2 linked regions of the Diceros bicornis minor genome follow. The protein of the gene in region 1 binds, or shares a complex with, the protein of each later gene. Links are inferred from orthologs where the notes say so. Each region holds a gene or a part of one and is shown in the gene's direction. Other genes may lie near its edges. The genes, in order: GLI1 and SUFU.

Evidence for each region.
Region 2: the proteins of GLI1 (region 1) and SUFU are in contact, whole or in part, in a crystal structure (PDB 4KMD), measured with the Homo sapiens proteins. The link is inferred for Diceros bicornis minor from reciprocal best matches to the Homo sapiens genes GLI1 and SUFU. Residues at the interface, in NP_005260.1 of Homo sapiens: Gly119, Ser120, Tyr121, Gly122, His123, Leu124, Ser125, Ile126, Gly127; in NP_057253.2 of Homo sapiens: Leu144, Tyr147, Asn153, Thr154, Phe155, Gly158, Asp159, His160, Val161, Ser162, Trp163, His164, Gln212, Asn265, Leu266, Ser267, Gly268, Val269, Ser270, Ala271, Glu376, Leu380, Lys398.

Annotation. Positions count from the first base shown.
Region 1 is NC_080756.1:11,494,970-11,502,270, reverse strand, and holds the start of GLI1 (zinc finger protein GLI1), read left to right. Parts: upstream 1-4,052; 5' UTR 4,053-4,174; intron 4,175-4,388; 5' UTR 4,389-4,536; intron 4,537-7,301. Other genes in the region: INHBE (inhibin beta E chain), read left to right, coding at 183-480, 739-1,496. UniProt on the Homo sapiens protein: Acts as a transcriptional activator. Binds to the DNA consensus sequence 5'-GACCACCCA-3'. Regulates the transcription of specific genes during normal development.
Region 2 is NC_080745.1:67,459,890-67,467,240, forward strand, and holds the start of SUFU (suppressor of fused homolog), read left to right. Parts: upstream 1-4,022; 5' UTR 4,023-4,166; coding exon 4,167-4,348; intron 4,349-7,351. Other genes in the region: ACTR1A (alpha-centractin), read right to left, coding at 1,863-1,910. UniProt on the Homo sapiens protein: Negative regulator in the hedgehog/smoothened signaling pathway. Down-regulates GLI1-mediated transactivation of target genes. Down-regulates GLI2-mediated transactivation of target genes. Part of a corepressor complex that acts on DNA-bound GLI1.

The DNA of each region.
Region 1 (7,301 bases):
CTTCCTGCCCTCCTGAGTCCCAGGCAACAGAAGACAGGTGGTTCTACCCTTGGCCAAGGGTAGGTGTGGCACTGCTGTCTGCTGCTGCTGTGCCCTCGTTAGCCTCCACGCAATCAGATTCAACAGAAGGAGCAACTGCCGTCTGAGGCTCCCAACCCGACCCAGGGCCATCCGCCAGGAGCATGGGGCTCCCTGATGTCCAGTTCCAGCTGGTGCTGCTGTGGGCGCTGGTGTGGGCACAGGGGGCAGGGTCTGTGTGCCCCTCCTGTGGGGGCCGCACACTAGCACCCCAAGCAGAACGAGCTCTGGTCCTGGAGCTAGCCAAACAGCAAATCCTGGAGGGGCTGCACCTGACCAGTCGTCCCAGAATAACTCATCCTCCACCCCAGGCAGCGCTGACCAGAGCGCTTCGGAGACTACAGCCAGGAAGTGTGGCTCCAGCGAATGGGGAGGAGGTCATCAGCTTTGCTACCATCACAGGTAGGTGAGGGAGAAACAGGCAGAGAGCAGATGGGGAAAAGGAGGCAGAAGGGGAGACTGACAGAAAAGGCAGAGGGAGTGGGGTGTAGGAGGAGGAGGCGGAGATGGGGCAGGGACTGGTTGCGGAGGACGCAAAGCAGTCCCTGTTTCTTCTAAAGGTGGGTGCTAGGGAAAGCAGTGGGCCGGGCTTATGGGACTCTCAGAGCAGAGCTTCATCTCTGCTCACGTTCCTCAGTCCCTTCTCCATCTTTCTGGCAGACTCCTCCACTGCAACCTGCAGCTTCATGCTCACCTTCCGCCTGTCCACTCCTCAGTCCCACCACCTGTACCACGCACGCCTCTGGCTGCACGTGCTCCCCACCCTTCCTGACAGTCTTTACTTGAAGATCTTCCGATGGGGCCCAAGGAGGAGGCGCCGACGGTCCCGCGCCCTCCTTGCTGAGCACCAAATGACAACCCCGGGCTGGCACGCCCTGACTCTGCCCTCTAGTGGCTTGAGGGGTGAGGAGTCTGGTGTCCTGAAACTCCAACTAGACTGCAGACCCCTAGAAGGCAACAGCACAGCTGCCCGACAACCTCGCCGGTTCTTGGACACAGCGGGAAACCAGCAGCCCTTCCTGGAGCTTAAGATCCGGCCCAATGAGCCTGGAGCAGCCCGGGCCAAGAGGAGGACCCCCACTTGTGAGCCTGAGACTCCCTTATGTTGTAGGCGAGACCATTATGTAGACTTTCAGGAACTGGGGTGGCGGGACTGGATTCTGCAGCCCGAGGGGTACCAGCTGAATTACTGCAGTGGCCAGTGCCCCCCCCATCTGGCTGGCAGCCCCGGCATTGCTGCCTCCTTCCATTCTGCTGTCTTCAGCCTCCTCAAGGCCAACAACCCTTGGCCCTTTGGTAATTCCTGCTGTGTCCCTACTGCCCGAAGGCCTCTCTCTCTCCTCTATCTTGACCGTGAAGGCAATGTGGTCAAGACGGATGTGCCAGACATGGTGGTGGAGGCCTGTGGCTGCAGCTAGCAAGTGGACCTGGGGGTTTGGAGTAAAGGGATCACGTTGGGGGTTCCCAGGCAAAGGGCATCTGTGGCTGGGGGCATCAGATTTCTGATCCACAGCCCCACCCAGTGGGCCACCTGGCAATATGACTGGGTTGACCTCTATGGGACCCAGATGGGCACTTTCTTGTCCAGCCTCTGGCCTATTCCAGGCTGGTTGATGTGTGGGGAGATAGGGAAAGTGTGTCTTCTAAAGGAATCTACCCAGAAAGCATGATTTCCTACCCTAAGCCCTGTGAGAAGATGGCAGAGGTGGGGGGGGGGGGGAGGAGAAGGCAGAGAAAAATGACTTAGTCTCTCTCAAGAAGAGAAAGTCCTCAAGTGAGGGAAGGAGAAGCAGACCGAGGACCCAGCAGGCTTGGAACAGCGGAACCGGCTGGCCAAGGGTAGGGGCTGTCGAAGTGCTTTAAGGGAGGGTCAAGAGGGAGATGGGCAAGGGGCTGAGGGAAGGTGTTCAGGAGAGCCCCAGAAATGGGAGTCAGGAGAGAAGGGTGCTGGGCCTGAGAAGTTCCCTGGTTTTTCCTGGGGGGGCAGGACCCAATGGGGAGACAAACGTTTCTACTTTCCTAATAAAAACAAGGAAAACAAATCAACAAGTGTGAGTCATAAAGAAGGGCTGGGGTGATGGTCCAAAGCAAAGGTTCTCAAGGTGCGGTCTGGGGACCCTTGGGAGGTCCCTGAGACCCTTTCAGGGATGTCCCCAAGGTCAAAACTATTTTCGTAATAATACTAAGATGTTATTTGCCTTTTTAATTTTCATTATCTCGAAAGCATACAGTGGAGTTTTCCAGAGGCTGTGTGACATGTGATTACATCATCTGACAGCATTGTTAATGGGATGGTGCTTGTGTATTCTTGTGTTACAAACTTTTTTTCAGTTTTAATTTCTAATATGGTAAATTGATATAAACCACATAAACAAAACCTCAATAATTTTTAAGTGTAAAAGGGTCTTGAAACCAAAATGTTTGAGACTCGCCGATCTAGAGACCTCGGTGGGGAGGACAAAGCACTGTGCTCTAAAAGAGCCAGCCTGAGGGAAGGGGCAGATGGCTGGGACTGGAGCATGTGTAGGGTCCCTTCTTCTCTAGTGACCATTGGTCTTGCCTGACCCTCTGGGTATAACTGGTGTCTGGGTCAAAGTCATGTGGGGGAAGGAGGGTCAAATGTCCCTGCCCAATTACTACCTATACTTGTAGGGCCTCAGAGGTCTTCCTAGCTGCACTTTTTCCATGGACCCTCAGACTGAATACTGAACCTAGTGACCCCCCAGGCCCAAGGAAGTGGTTCTTGGAAGCAGAGCTAGGATGTGGGAGGTCTGTCTGAGGGGTGACATAAAAGGAGGGGACTCCTTTCCCCCACCACGCTTTCTCCCCTTTCTCATAAGGAAAAGTCAGAGAGACTAAAATAGCTGCCCCTTCCCCTGCATCTGGTCGCCATGGCAACACAAATCCCAAGGCACAGGGCACTCGCCTATCAGTTAGGTACTACCGCTCTGCGCTAGCAGCCTCTGCCGGTGTGCCCTCCGTTTCTGTGGGCTCATACAACCCCCTCCCTGGGCTCCTAACTGGGCCTTGGGTGGGGAGACCTGCTAAGTCTCCCCCAGTCTCCTCTGCCTCCAGTCAGACTCTGAGAGGGTGTGATGTGGCAGAATGGCCAGCAGAGGGAGCAGACAGCCTTGAGGAGCCGAAAGAGAGCGGGCAGCGCAGAGGTGCGGAGGTGGCCGCAGTCTCCAGAATTTAGAGATGAAGGAGAACGGAGGTTCTCAGGGAACATGCTTCAGCCCCAGGGCTCCTTTGTAACCTTGTGAACACACGCTGCACCCAAAGCCTGAGCCACCTGCTCCTCTCTTTTGTGCTTCATAGACTCCCTCACCTTCCGCGCAGGGCCGGCGACCCCAACTCTGTCCCAACCCTGTTTCCATCAAACTCCAACTCTGTCCCAACCCCTTCACGTTCCATCCGATGGGTGAAGCCGGCAGATAAACCACAGGGTGGCGGAATGCTCAATCAGCACCAGCCAAAGTCGACGACCCAACCTTCAATATTATCTTTCTCGGACGAACTTTTAGTCGCCCCGGCCCCCCGCCTCCCCCCCCCCCCCGCATATATCTATCAATCTTTTTTCTGGTTCTGATTCAGGGCCTCTTCGTGGGTAGTCGATCCAAGGATCCATGCCGGGATTTACTGCCCACCAGCAGCAGCGTGTTCAGCGGGGGGGCAGGGGGGGCAGGCAGTATAGGGTCCCTCAAGGGAGGGGGAGGATCCTGGGGGTCCTGGGGGTGCAATAAGCCCGGCACCCCCTCTCTCGCTTCCAGTTACCCCGCCTCATCTTCCAGAACGGTGAGAGGGAGGGAAATAGGAGGGAGGTGAGGGGCGAGCGGGAAGAGCGGCGGCGCGCCAGCAGCTTGAGCGAGAAAAAGTTTTTGCAAAAAGAAAAAAAAAGTTTGCGCTTCTCGCGGGTGGTCCCGGCTCGCGGCCCGGCGGGCTGGGCCGGCGGGAGGGCTGGGGGCCAGGTTAGGGCGGTGGGGGTGGCACTGAGGCTGCGCTGCTGTGGCCCTGTCCGCCCCCCCTCCCCACCGCACACCCCCAGCCCAGACTCCAGACCTGGACCGCGCATCCCGAGCCCTGCGCCCAGGCGGAGGTGAGAAGGGGGGCGCGCGGGGGACCACCTGGGAGCGGTGGGGGAGGGGGCTTGAGGGGATGCTCTGCTTGCGAGGGACTCTGCCCAGCCAAGAGGGAGACCTGGGGCCCAGAGGCAAAATGGGGGTGGGAGAGCCTGGGGTGAGATCTTAGAAAGTTTGGAGAATTTTTTCATTTGTGTCTCCGTTTCTCTGTATCTTTTTTTCTTCTGACAGTCTGTGTGTCTCTGTCTCAGGCAACCGTGGATCTCTTTGTCTGTCTCTGCCTCTCCCATACATTAGAAACATCTCACTTCCATGAGGTTGGGATGAAGAGGCTGGAGGGACGGCTAGCTGGAGGTCTGCGTGGTAGAGGGAACTCCAGGTGTGTCTCTGAGCGCCGGGCAGGAAGACGTCAGTGTTTCTGAAAGGAGGGGACAGCTAAGGAGAGAGCCCTAGGTGGGGTGGAGATGGGTGTGTGTGAGGCGACAGAACCACCGGGGGGCGGCTAGGCTTGAACCCCTGACCTGTCTTGTGACAGATGTGCTTTCGGGTGCATGTGTTTTGAGGAAGAGGAGTGCCTTCTGGACTAGGAGGGTGGCTGGAGGGGCCAGTGTCTAGTTTAGGCCCTAGAAAGACTCCCCAGGGAATTTGGACTCCTGAGTCCCAAGGGCTGTGGGCAGGGTGCTAAGGAGGAGCTGAGGAGACCTTGTCTTGACCCTCTGACCTCAGGACCACCAGGGCAGCTGGGGCCAGCCGCAGGGAGACCCCTACTGGGACTGGGCGGGACCACTGGCCGCTGCCTGCTTGTGCATCCCTGTTGGCCCCCCTCCCAAACGGGAGCTGGGGACCGAGGCCCCTCCTCTGGCTCAGACCACCCTGCCTGCCCTTGCTCCCCGCTCTGAAGCCTCTTTCAGGCCCCGTGACCCCGAAACAATCCGCCCTGGGCAGCTAGCTTTGGGGACAGGATTAGGGAAAGGGGATCCCATAGAGACCGGGGACTGAAGGTTTTAGGGGGCTGGAGAATTGGGGTCTTGATAGGATAGATCTTTACGGTCCAGTAGAGGGAGAAGGCGGGGCGATTTCCCGGGGGAGTTGTGAGGGCCGGAATTAGGGTGGTTTTCCCTAGGGGGGCGGGGTCCAGAGACCCCCCCCCATTATCTCCCCGGCATCCCCTGCCAGGCGGCACAGACCCCGCCCTTGACGTCACTAAGGGGTTCCCGGGGGTCTGGAGGGGTTAACCCTTGGGAAGCCATCCGGGACACCCGGGAACCTGAGGTGTCCTGGCACCTCCTCCTCCCCATACACACCTTATTTTATTTACCCACTTTCTCTCCCTACAGTTTCGGCATTCTTCTTTCTTTTCCACGCCGCCACGGGGACCCCCACTCCCCAACAGTGCCCCCCCCACCCCCGCGCCACTGCCAGCTTTCTGGATGCACTGAGGGGAGGAGGGAAGAATGTGTCCCGCCTCTCACCGCCCCCCTTCCTCCGACTCCACTGCGGCTCGCTCGACTGGGCTCCCGGGGCGGGCGGGGGAAGCGGAGCCGTCTGCAGCCAGAGCCTGCGGCGGCGACTTGGGTGGGCCGAGAAGGCACGGAGGCGGGGAAGGCGGGACCGGGAGAAGGGGGCGGGGCCGACTCCTGGGAGTTGGGGAGCGGGGGTGCGAGGGGGACTCTGGAAAATAGGGAGACACAGAAGATGATTCAGGGCTCCGGCAGGGGAACCCTGGAGCTCCCTGCCCCATCCTCGCTCTCACCCACACCCCAGGAAACGTAACTCAAGCTGGAAAAGTTGGCGAAATTTTTCTTTCACTAGTGTGAAGGGGAGACGTGGGTGGGCTGTGGCACGCGTGGGTGAGGAGGGATGTCGCCCCACTTCCAACTCTGCTCCCCTGCGGCTGGGCTGTGGGGCAGGACGATGAGAGTAGGCACGTTTGGGGGAGTCTCTTTAGTGTTTGGGGGGTCATTTGCGAGCCCCCGCCTCCTTCCCCTGGGTGAGTCATAGAAGGAGGCGGGAGAAGTGTCCCCCCATCCAGCTGCCAGCCAGCTGTGCCCCCCCACCCAACCTAGTGCCAGGGTCGAGTTGGGAGGTCTTGGATGCGGGACCCGGATCTCCGCTGGGAAAGGAGGAGTTAGGAAGGGTACAGCCCAGGCTGCGGGGTTCGGGCTGGATCATGGGGTCCCGGTTCCGCTCCCCATCTTACCCCGCCCTCACCCTAAATCCCAGCATCCCGGGATCACCCACCGCGCCGGCCGGCCCGCTCCCGGTCGTTCTCCACCCTACCCCGCCCCACCCCACCCTCAGTCCCGGGAAACCGGAAAACCCGGGGCGGAATAAAAACTGGAGTTTGAGGAGAAAAGCGGACAGCGGCAGCCTCTCCTCCTTCACTACTCCTCTCTAATGGATGATGGCTTCATTTTTTCATTCTCTCAAAGCCTTCCTTCATAGTCCTTCTCCTGTTCCCAAAACAGACCAAAAGAATTTAGATGGGAGCCCAGATTCAAACCACCCCAGAATAACATCAGAAAAACATTTCATCCTTTCACCCAATAGACCCGGGAGGCTCCCCTCAGAAACCTTATCCCCTTCTACACACAGTTTTCTGCCATAGGGAGAAAAGGGCAGATCGTCGGTGATCTCTCCTGGCCCCAGCAGCTTCTGTCTGGGCTGTGGCGAGAGCGCCCTCTGCTGGACACTGGAGAGACTGTAGACGGGCTGTCCCCGGGCAGGAACAAATGAAGGAGAGGGAAAGGGGCTGAGGCAGAGGAGCCAGCCCAGGGCTTGAAGTCAGATGCTCCGCATGAGTTCCCCATCCCACCTGTCAAAGCTGGCCCGTGGTCTGAGCAAGAGGAAAGAGAGGGCCCATGGTATAAAGTCACTTGAAGCTCATATAGGCACAATTAGTCCACACCCCGCTCTCCTCCCACCACACACACAGACCACCCAGGCAAAGGTCCCACCCAGTTCCCACAGAGATCGCCAAGACTGCCTCTGCCTCTTTGGGACTTCTCTCCTCACCCTCTCCTTAGCTGAGTGATGCTCATTTCAACTCGATTTCCCACGGAAGATGTCTTGGAGGGGCTGAGGGCACAGGAAGCTCTGCCCTGGGTTCCATGCCTGAGGTAGTTATCTGACCTTCCCTGTCTC
Region 2 (7,351 bases), on another chromosome or scaffold:
TCTTTTTAAAACAAAAAAGGCAGATGAAGCACACACAAACTGGTTGAAGACAGAGATAGTGGTGTTCTCTGAAATTCAACATCAAGATCCAGCAGTTATACCTAACCCTCTGCCATAACAAACTAGGGTCCTCCGCCCCACCCCCAACCTCTCTTTATTTAGGGACTTCTTTGTTAATGTGATAAAGCTATTCAATCATTCATCCACTCACCCATCAATCCAATGAAAAAACATTTATTGAGCACATAGTGGTGCCAGGACCTAGGTAGTGTGTGTGTAGAGTGAGGTGAAGACGAGAGTAATGAAAAACGAAGGAATACTATCTTTTCCCACAAAGATTTAATAGTCTAGTGAGAGAGACAAAAAAAGTCCTCCCCAAAATGAGGTGTGTCACTGAGCTCAACCTCATACCCCTGGAGAGAAGGAAAGCTAACAACAAAAAAAGCACCTTTCCTTGGAAAAAGTGAGGACCTTGGAACTCAATCTCAATTTAAGTCTTGGCTCTTCAACTCATAAACCAGGTAGTTTGAATACTGTTATTTAAACCTCTCCAAGCTTCACTTTCCTGCATAAACTGGGGGTAGTAATTCCTATCTACCTACCGGACGCTTAAATGAGGTGATGCAAATGAAACAACCTTGTAACATGCCTAAGATGTCCCAAGGGCTGGGTCAACAGAGGGCATCTGACAGTCAGCTCCGGACAGGGAATAGGCAGTTTTGCCTCCATGGAGCCATTTAGAAGAGGCACAGAAAAGGTATCAACCAATCTCGGTGGGACCAAACATTTGAGTGGAAGACAGAAACGTAAAACAGTTGTTTTACAATTGTCCCCCTCCGCCCCAAATAAGAGCAGTATTTAGATTCTTTCCATTTGTCACTATTGATGCTAACGGATAAAGCACTGGATTTAGGGCACCTCTACTGTGCGACCCTGGGCTCACTAGACTTCTTCGCGCTTCAGTTTTGTCATTTGTAAAACGAGGATGAAACGTCCTGCCTTAACCATTCACCCAGTTTTTGTGAGGATCCACTCGAATGGATGTGCACTCCCCCCACCCACGTCAGCGCTAGAGCGCCTGGCAAATGTTATGTTTGGTAATTTTTTTCCCCAGCAATTAGGCGTTCCGAAGACGAAGGTATCACCCTGCTTGCTTTGTCACTCTCCTTTCTTCTCGACCTTTATTCACGTTATAATTTATAATCACAGAAATAACTGAAATCTTATGGCTATTTTTCGCACCAGATTCTCGGGCCCCACCCAGATACACCGCCAAGCCTCCGGCCAGCTGCAGACAGAGGGAAACTTACCCCTTCTCTACCCGCGGGCAGGCCCTAGCCCGTCAGGCCCCTACACCGGGCGATCCCGAAACCAATCCTCACAACCCTCGTGCATCGCCCCGCCCCTTAGAGAGGGGACACACTATGGCGGCCCGGAAAAATGGCAGGGGCGCGAGCCAATCACTGCAGAGGGCTGCCCTTATCCGGCAAGGCCCAGAGGCGGGGTCATCAGTCAAGATGGACAGCCAGAGCAGCCAATAGAGTTATCGGAAACCGGGGAGGGGATGGGCGCCGGGCGCTCACATCGGTTAAGGCCCCTCAAGCCAACGGCCCAAGAACCCGGCCCGCACTACAGCTCTTCCCTCTATCCATCCCCAAGTTCTCCATCCCACGGTTGCTGGCCGGCCGCCCTGCCTGCGGACTGGGGGGTGGGGGTGGGGTGGATGGAGGCGGCGGCGGCTGAACCCGCCTGACAGGCCGGGCCAGTGACAAAGAGCCGGCGGCCCGGGCTGAAACCCGGGAAGCAATCCCTTCGGGAAGGAGAGCATACGTCCCTTTAGAGATAGGAAAGACGCAACTCACGTTGTCGATCACGACGGGTTGGTTGGCGATCACATCGTAGGACTCCATGGCAGAGGAATCTTTCCTTCCGAGGAAGGAACTGCCAGCCGGGTCCGCTGCTAACGCCACTGACACGCATGCGCAGTCTAGCCGGTGGTAGAGGGCGGCAGGGAGCGGCCCGACCTCGCCTCCGAAGAACTACAAGCCCAGCATGCCTTGCACCAGGGTTAGCGAGCCAGGCAACTTCGGAGCCCCGCCTGCTTTAAGAGACGGGGCGTCGCGTTTCTGACGCACAGTACCCTGGGCTTTGTAGTCTCCATTGATAATAGACAGGGATGCCGATTGATGGGGGTATTGCTTGCTTGGATCTGTAATCCGCTTGAAGGGATTAGCAGTGCATGCTGAAATATGTAAAGTTGTATGAAAGTAGTCTTCTTGAGTACTTGTCTGTAGTTCGGTTTGGATTGGTCAGTAATTCGTGCATATTTGGATTTTACAGATCCCTCCTGCCACTCCCCACCACTTCCCCTGGACGATATAAGATTGCCATGTTTTTATTTGGGTCTATAAGACATTAATAAAAATCTATCGCCATCACACTCGACTAAAGGAAATTTTAATACACACACACGGGAAAGGACATATTGCCAGAACAAAAGAAAATAATTTAAATTGCATAAAATTTGCTTTTTAGAAAAAACGGTACATTTTTGTTGCTTTTCGCGTTTTTCCTGGGTAGGTGTGAACTTTGCAACAGGCTAACATTGGTCCGAAGACTGGCATTTGAAGCTACTGGTATAGATGATTTTTTGGCTATTAAAACATCGTTCATCTAATAACTTCAGAAACTGCTCTATCTCTTTAATTTTCGTGGGGAGCTAGAATTTACATTGATGAGCGAGAAAATGGAGGTGAAGAGAGGTTATGTGTCACTGCTTTCAAATGAGCCCAGTGCATTCTTCTCTAGATTATTTCCTCCCCGCCTTCAAGCTGCAGGGATCTTTTAGTTAATAGTACTGGTAAGCAGGACTCCCTTCTATCCCTTTCTCTTGGAATTTCCAGATCATTGAGTGGAAGACATTACTATATGAAAAGTTATTGTAAACAGGAAAGTAATTCCCAACTCAGTGCCTTCGAAATTAACTTTTTTTCCAGTTACAGAGAGCCAAGGTAATGGGGAAGGGCAGGCCACAGTAGATAATGATGTTCCTCAAAGTAATCTGCAGACATCTGCCTAAAACAGAAGAAAAAAGAGATTGTCATCTTCACTAAAAGCATTTTTTAAATAATTACCAAGTCTTTTTAATCGATCCTAGTTTACCTAACTCTTGTTACTTTCTGACAGAATTCCAAAATAGGTATTTCAAAATATGACCCCTGAATTTGGCGGTGTTAGTGTCAGTCGATATAGTCAATGGACATTCAAAGACGGTAGGTAACGTTCAGATTTGTTATCTATTAAAACTAATGCCAGGGGCTGGCCCCGTGGCTTAGCGGTTAAGTGTGCATGCTCCGCTACTGGCGGCCCCGGTTCGGATCCCGGGCGCGCAGGGACGCACCGCTTCTCCGGCCATGCTGAGGCGGCGTCCCACATACAGCAACTAGAAGGATGTGCAACTATGACATACAACTATCTACTGGGGCTTTGGGGGGGGGGGAAAGAGGAGGATTGGCAATAGATGTTAGCTCAGAGCTGGTATTCCTCAGCAAAAAGAGAAGGATTAGCATGGATGTTAGCTCAGGGCTGATCTTCCTCACAAAAAAAAATAATAATAATAAAATAAAACTAATGCCACACGGACGAATGAATCAATCTATTGTCAGATTTATATTTAAATCCTTGTTAGCAGCGTGTCAGCAAAACAGTGAGAAGCCTTTCGTCGGTGCACTTTCCACGGCTTTCGTGAGACCCTAGCACCTCAGAAGCATGCCGCAACATCTCTATTTAAGTCTAGGTTCCTCCTAACACTAGGGGGAGGCCAAGAGCCTTGGGACACCCCAAACGCAGGCAGAGGGAGGCGGGACCTATGGTCAAGTCACGCCTTCCCTACCTGTGACTGGCACAGACACTAGCCAATGGATGCTGGGATAGGGCGCGCCGGCGCCCCGCCCCCTTGAGCGCCCCGCGGCCGCCGAGGCACCCTCTGGCGGTCTCTGCGGCGGCGACTGCCAGGGCGGACGGTGCGCCGTGCGCAGGCGCGAAGCCTACACCTCGCTGCAGCCCCCGTCGCCTCGGGGAGTCGCACCCACGGAGTCCGCCGCTGGCGCGTCAGTGCTCTCGCCTCGTCCGCCTTCCCTGGCTTCCCCAGCGTCCTACACGCCCCGATGGCGGAGCTGCGGCCTAGTGGCGCCCCCGGCCCCACCGCGCCCCCGGCCCCTGGCCCTACTGCCCCCCCGGCCTTCGCCTCGCTCTTCCCCCCGGGACTGCACGCCATCTACGGAGAGTGCCGCCGCCTTTACCCTGACCAGCCAAACCCGCTCCAGGTTACCGCTATCGTCAAGTACTGGTATGCCCTGGGCCGCGGGGAGACGGACAGGGGCGGGCTGGGCAGGGTTAAAGCGCCGGGGGCGAAGTAATTTGCAAGGTTGGAGGAGGAGACAGAGAATGGTTAAAGCACTGGAAGGAGGGCTTCCTGCTGCGAGGGAAGGAGTTAAGGCTCAAATTGCGAATGGGGACAAAGGGGTTAACGGAGCCTGTGGGTAGCGAAGGGTTAACGAAGGAGGGAAGGCTGAAGGGTTAACTGAGATTAGGAGAATAAAGTGAATTGGGGGTGTGTGTAGGAGCTGAGAGGGGAACGGTAGGAGAGAGGGAACTGTAAACGTGGTGAAAGGAGGGGGCGCCTGTAGGGGGTCATTAGTGGGCGAGGGGAAGCCAAGGAGGGGCGGCCGAAGCGGGATGAGGGAGGCGAGGCGGGGCCTGGGGAGCATATGAGAGAGCTTTGGAGGAGCCGGGCTGGAGGAGCTCAAAGGGCACGAGACAGCATAGGGTTGGGGCCGGTCTGGGGACCCGGGCTCTCCTGTGGGTTAGGAGGGGAGCAAGCTGTGAGCGTCGTGCTTGTGAAGAGATGAGGAGGAGGTCTCGTTTTGATACTTCCCAGTGAGCTCAGACATCATATCAGTGCAATGCTTTTGCGTTTGAAGTTTCACCGGGCAACTTTTCCTGATAAACTTTCTGCTTACTCTGCACAGTTCTCTTTCTCCATGCAGAGCTTCCTCTGGCTCTGCAGCTGCTTTGCTTTAGGTCATTGGCTAGAACAGAGGCAGGCAGGGTCAGGGAGATCCATGATTTGGGTCAGGATTGAAGGAGACCTCGGTAAATGATGAAGACCTGGGAGTTAGACAAAGAGGAAAGAAGTGCAGTGTGATGTTAAGAGGAACTTCCTGGCCACGAACTTTAGGATTTAGGCAGCAGTGTCTCAGGGAAGCTGAGAGTAACCCTCAAGTAGCTCTGTTAAGGATTAGACCTGTTTACAGATGGGCTGCCCTTGGGGTAGGAATGGTCTTTTCTAGTTTCTCATTCCTGTTTGCAACCTGTCTCTTCCTGCAGCCTCTGGGCAAAACAGGTGTTGTGGGGACTCTGGAAAAGAGCCTGTCTTCATGGTCTTTCTGGACCAAAAGTTGACAAGAATTGGTTGAATCTGTCCAGAACCACATTCATGCAAGCATTGTATTAGATGGTCCCTTTGTTGAATCCTGGAAGACTTTTCAGGTATCTGCTTGGCCTGTGGCAGAGGGGGTAGGTAGACTCAAGGTAGAAGTGAATGAAGGGGATGTCTTTGCTGATTACCTTTCCCTTTAAGACTGAGTCTTTCTCCTACATGACAACCTCTTACTTCCTCCAGAGATGGCAGAAGCTAGGCTGGATAGGGCTGAGGCCAGCTCCCTGTGTCGATGGGAGGATGTGAAGAGGCTGACAGTGTGGAGGGCCTGAGGACCAGCCACCTGCTGCTTAGGGAGGGCCACGAGGAGCAGCCTGTCTCTGTCTGGTAGCCGGAGGAGGTGTGGCCAGTGGTACAGTTCTTTCTGGCAAGCACACTGTTCTTTGGTTGAGAGGAGTTTTTGAAGAGAGCTTCTGAGTGAAAAGCAGCTCTTGATAACTTAATCACCCATTCTAATTGCACCTCTATATTTAAATATGTATTGTGATGAACTCTGTTGGATTGTGTCATGAGAAAAGTGGGCCTGCCTCTGCCATACTGTTTTTTCAGGCCGCATTTGAGTGTAGGGAGAAATCCCTACACGGACTTGGGCAACTGTTTTTATGTCACCCAACTGGCCATGAAGGATAGAGTTGTGTGTAAAAGGTATTGAAGCATGTGCAAAGGACTAAGACTGGTTTGGGCAACTTTTTTTCTTCTTCTTGCTGCAAACTTGTTAATGGTCTAGACTCGGTGAATGATGAAGGCCAGAGATGGGCCAGCATGTAATGATGACTAAAAAGGATTGTGAAATTAGAAATGCTGCCTAGATGAAGAAAAACGTAAGAGGGGACAGCTCAGCAAATGATTCTTTCTAAGATTCAAAGGGGGTTGCGTAATTAAGATCCTGAAATTAATTCATTGATATCCCTCACATTTGGAGTCCCACAAGGCCTCTTCAGTTCTCATGGCAGGATGACAGACTGAGGCTGCCTGGGTCTGGCTGTGGGCCAGGTTACCTTGGGATTCCTTTTCTTGCAACAGAAGGGTGGCTCTTTGGCTAGTGGTCCTTGGCCAGCAGGGACATCCTGGCTGAAAGCGGAGACTTTAGTGAGCAGGGAGCAGAAGCAGAGAGGCAGAGCCTGTGCTCTGGGGCCACTCCAGTCCTGTACCTGCCCTGCAGAGTTAAGTGTTGTAGGAATTAAGTTGAGGGATGCTCTGGGTCCTTGAATAACATCTTTCTCTAAGTGCAAAATATGATTATTTTCTGTATACTCGTCTGCTTCCCGTCAGGTCTCTGAGTAAGTAGAATATTACAGTCTGTGCTTGGGGACTAGCTTAATTTTGTCTGACTCTTGGTCATTCTTTGCAGTGGGGTTTTAAGGTAAAGCCTCTCTCCTTGATGCAATACCTCCTGGGAGACTTGGCCAGAAAGAGAGCTGCAGTGAGGTCACAGATGGAGCATGGAAGAGTGGACATAGTTTTGCCACTTGTTGCTGGATGGACCTCAGCTGAGGGAGGGGCAAGACTGAGAATATGCAGCAGGAAGCTGGAGCGGATATGAAGCCTGCAGTCACTCCCATCTTTTCCAGAGTTCTGCAGTTTCATGGGGTCCTTCCTGGGAGAGCTTCCCTTTTCTTGCCTCTTTCCCCTGACAAACTTTTCTAAATCTAACTGGTTGTGGAATTAGTCAAATGATTTGGCAAAATCAGAGTTAAGGAAAGACATGGAGATTTGCCCCTTTTCCTAATCCACTCTGTTGAGATTCTAAGCTATTTGTAGTGACTTTCTTACAAGTTCTATAAATAACTTAGCGTTTCCTAGCAGAGAATAAGGATTTCTACAAAGGCAAATAATATTCTGGCAAAAGAG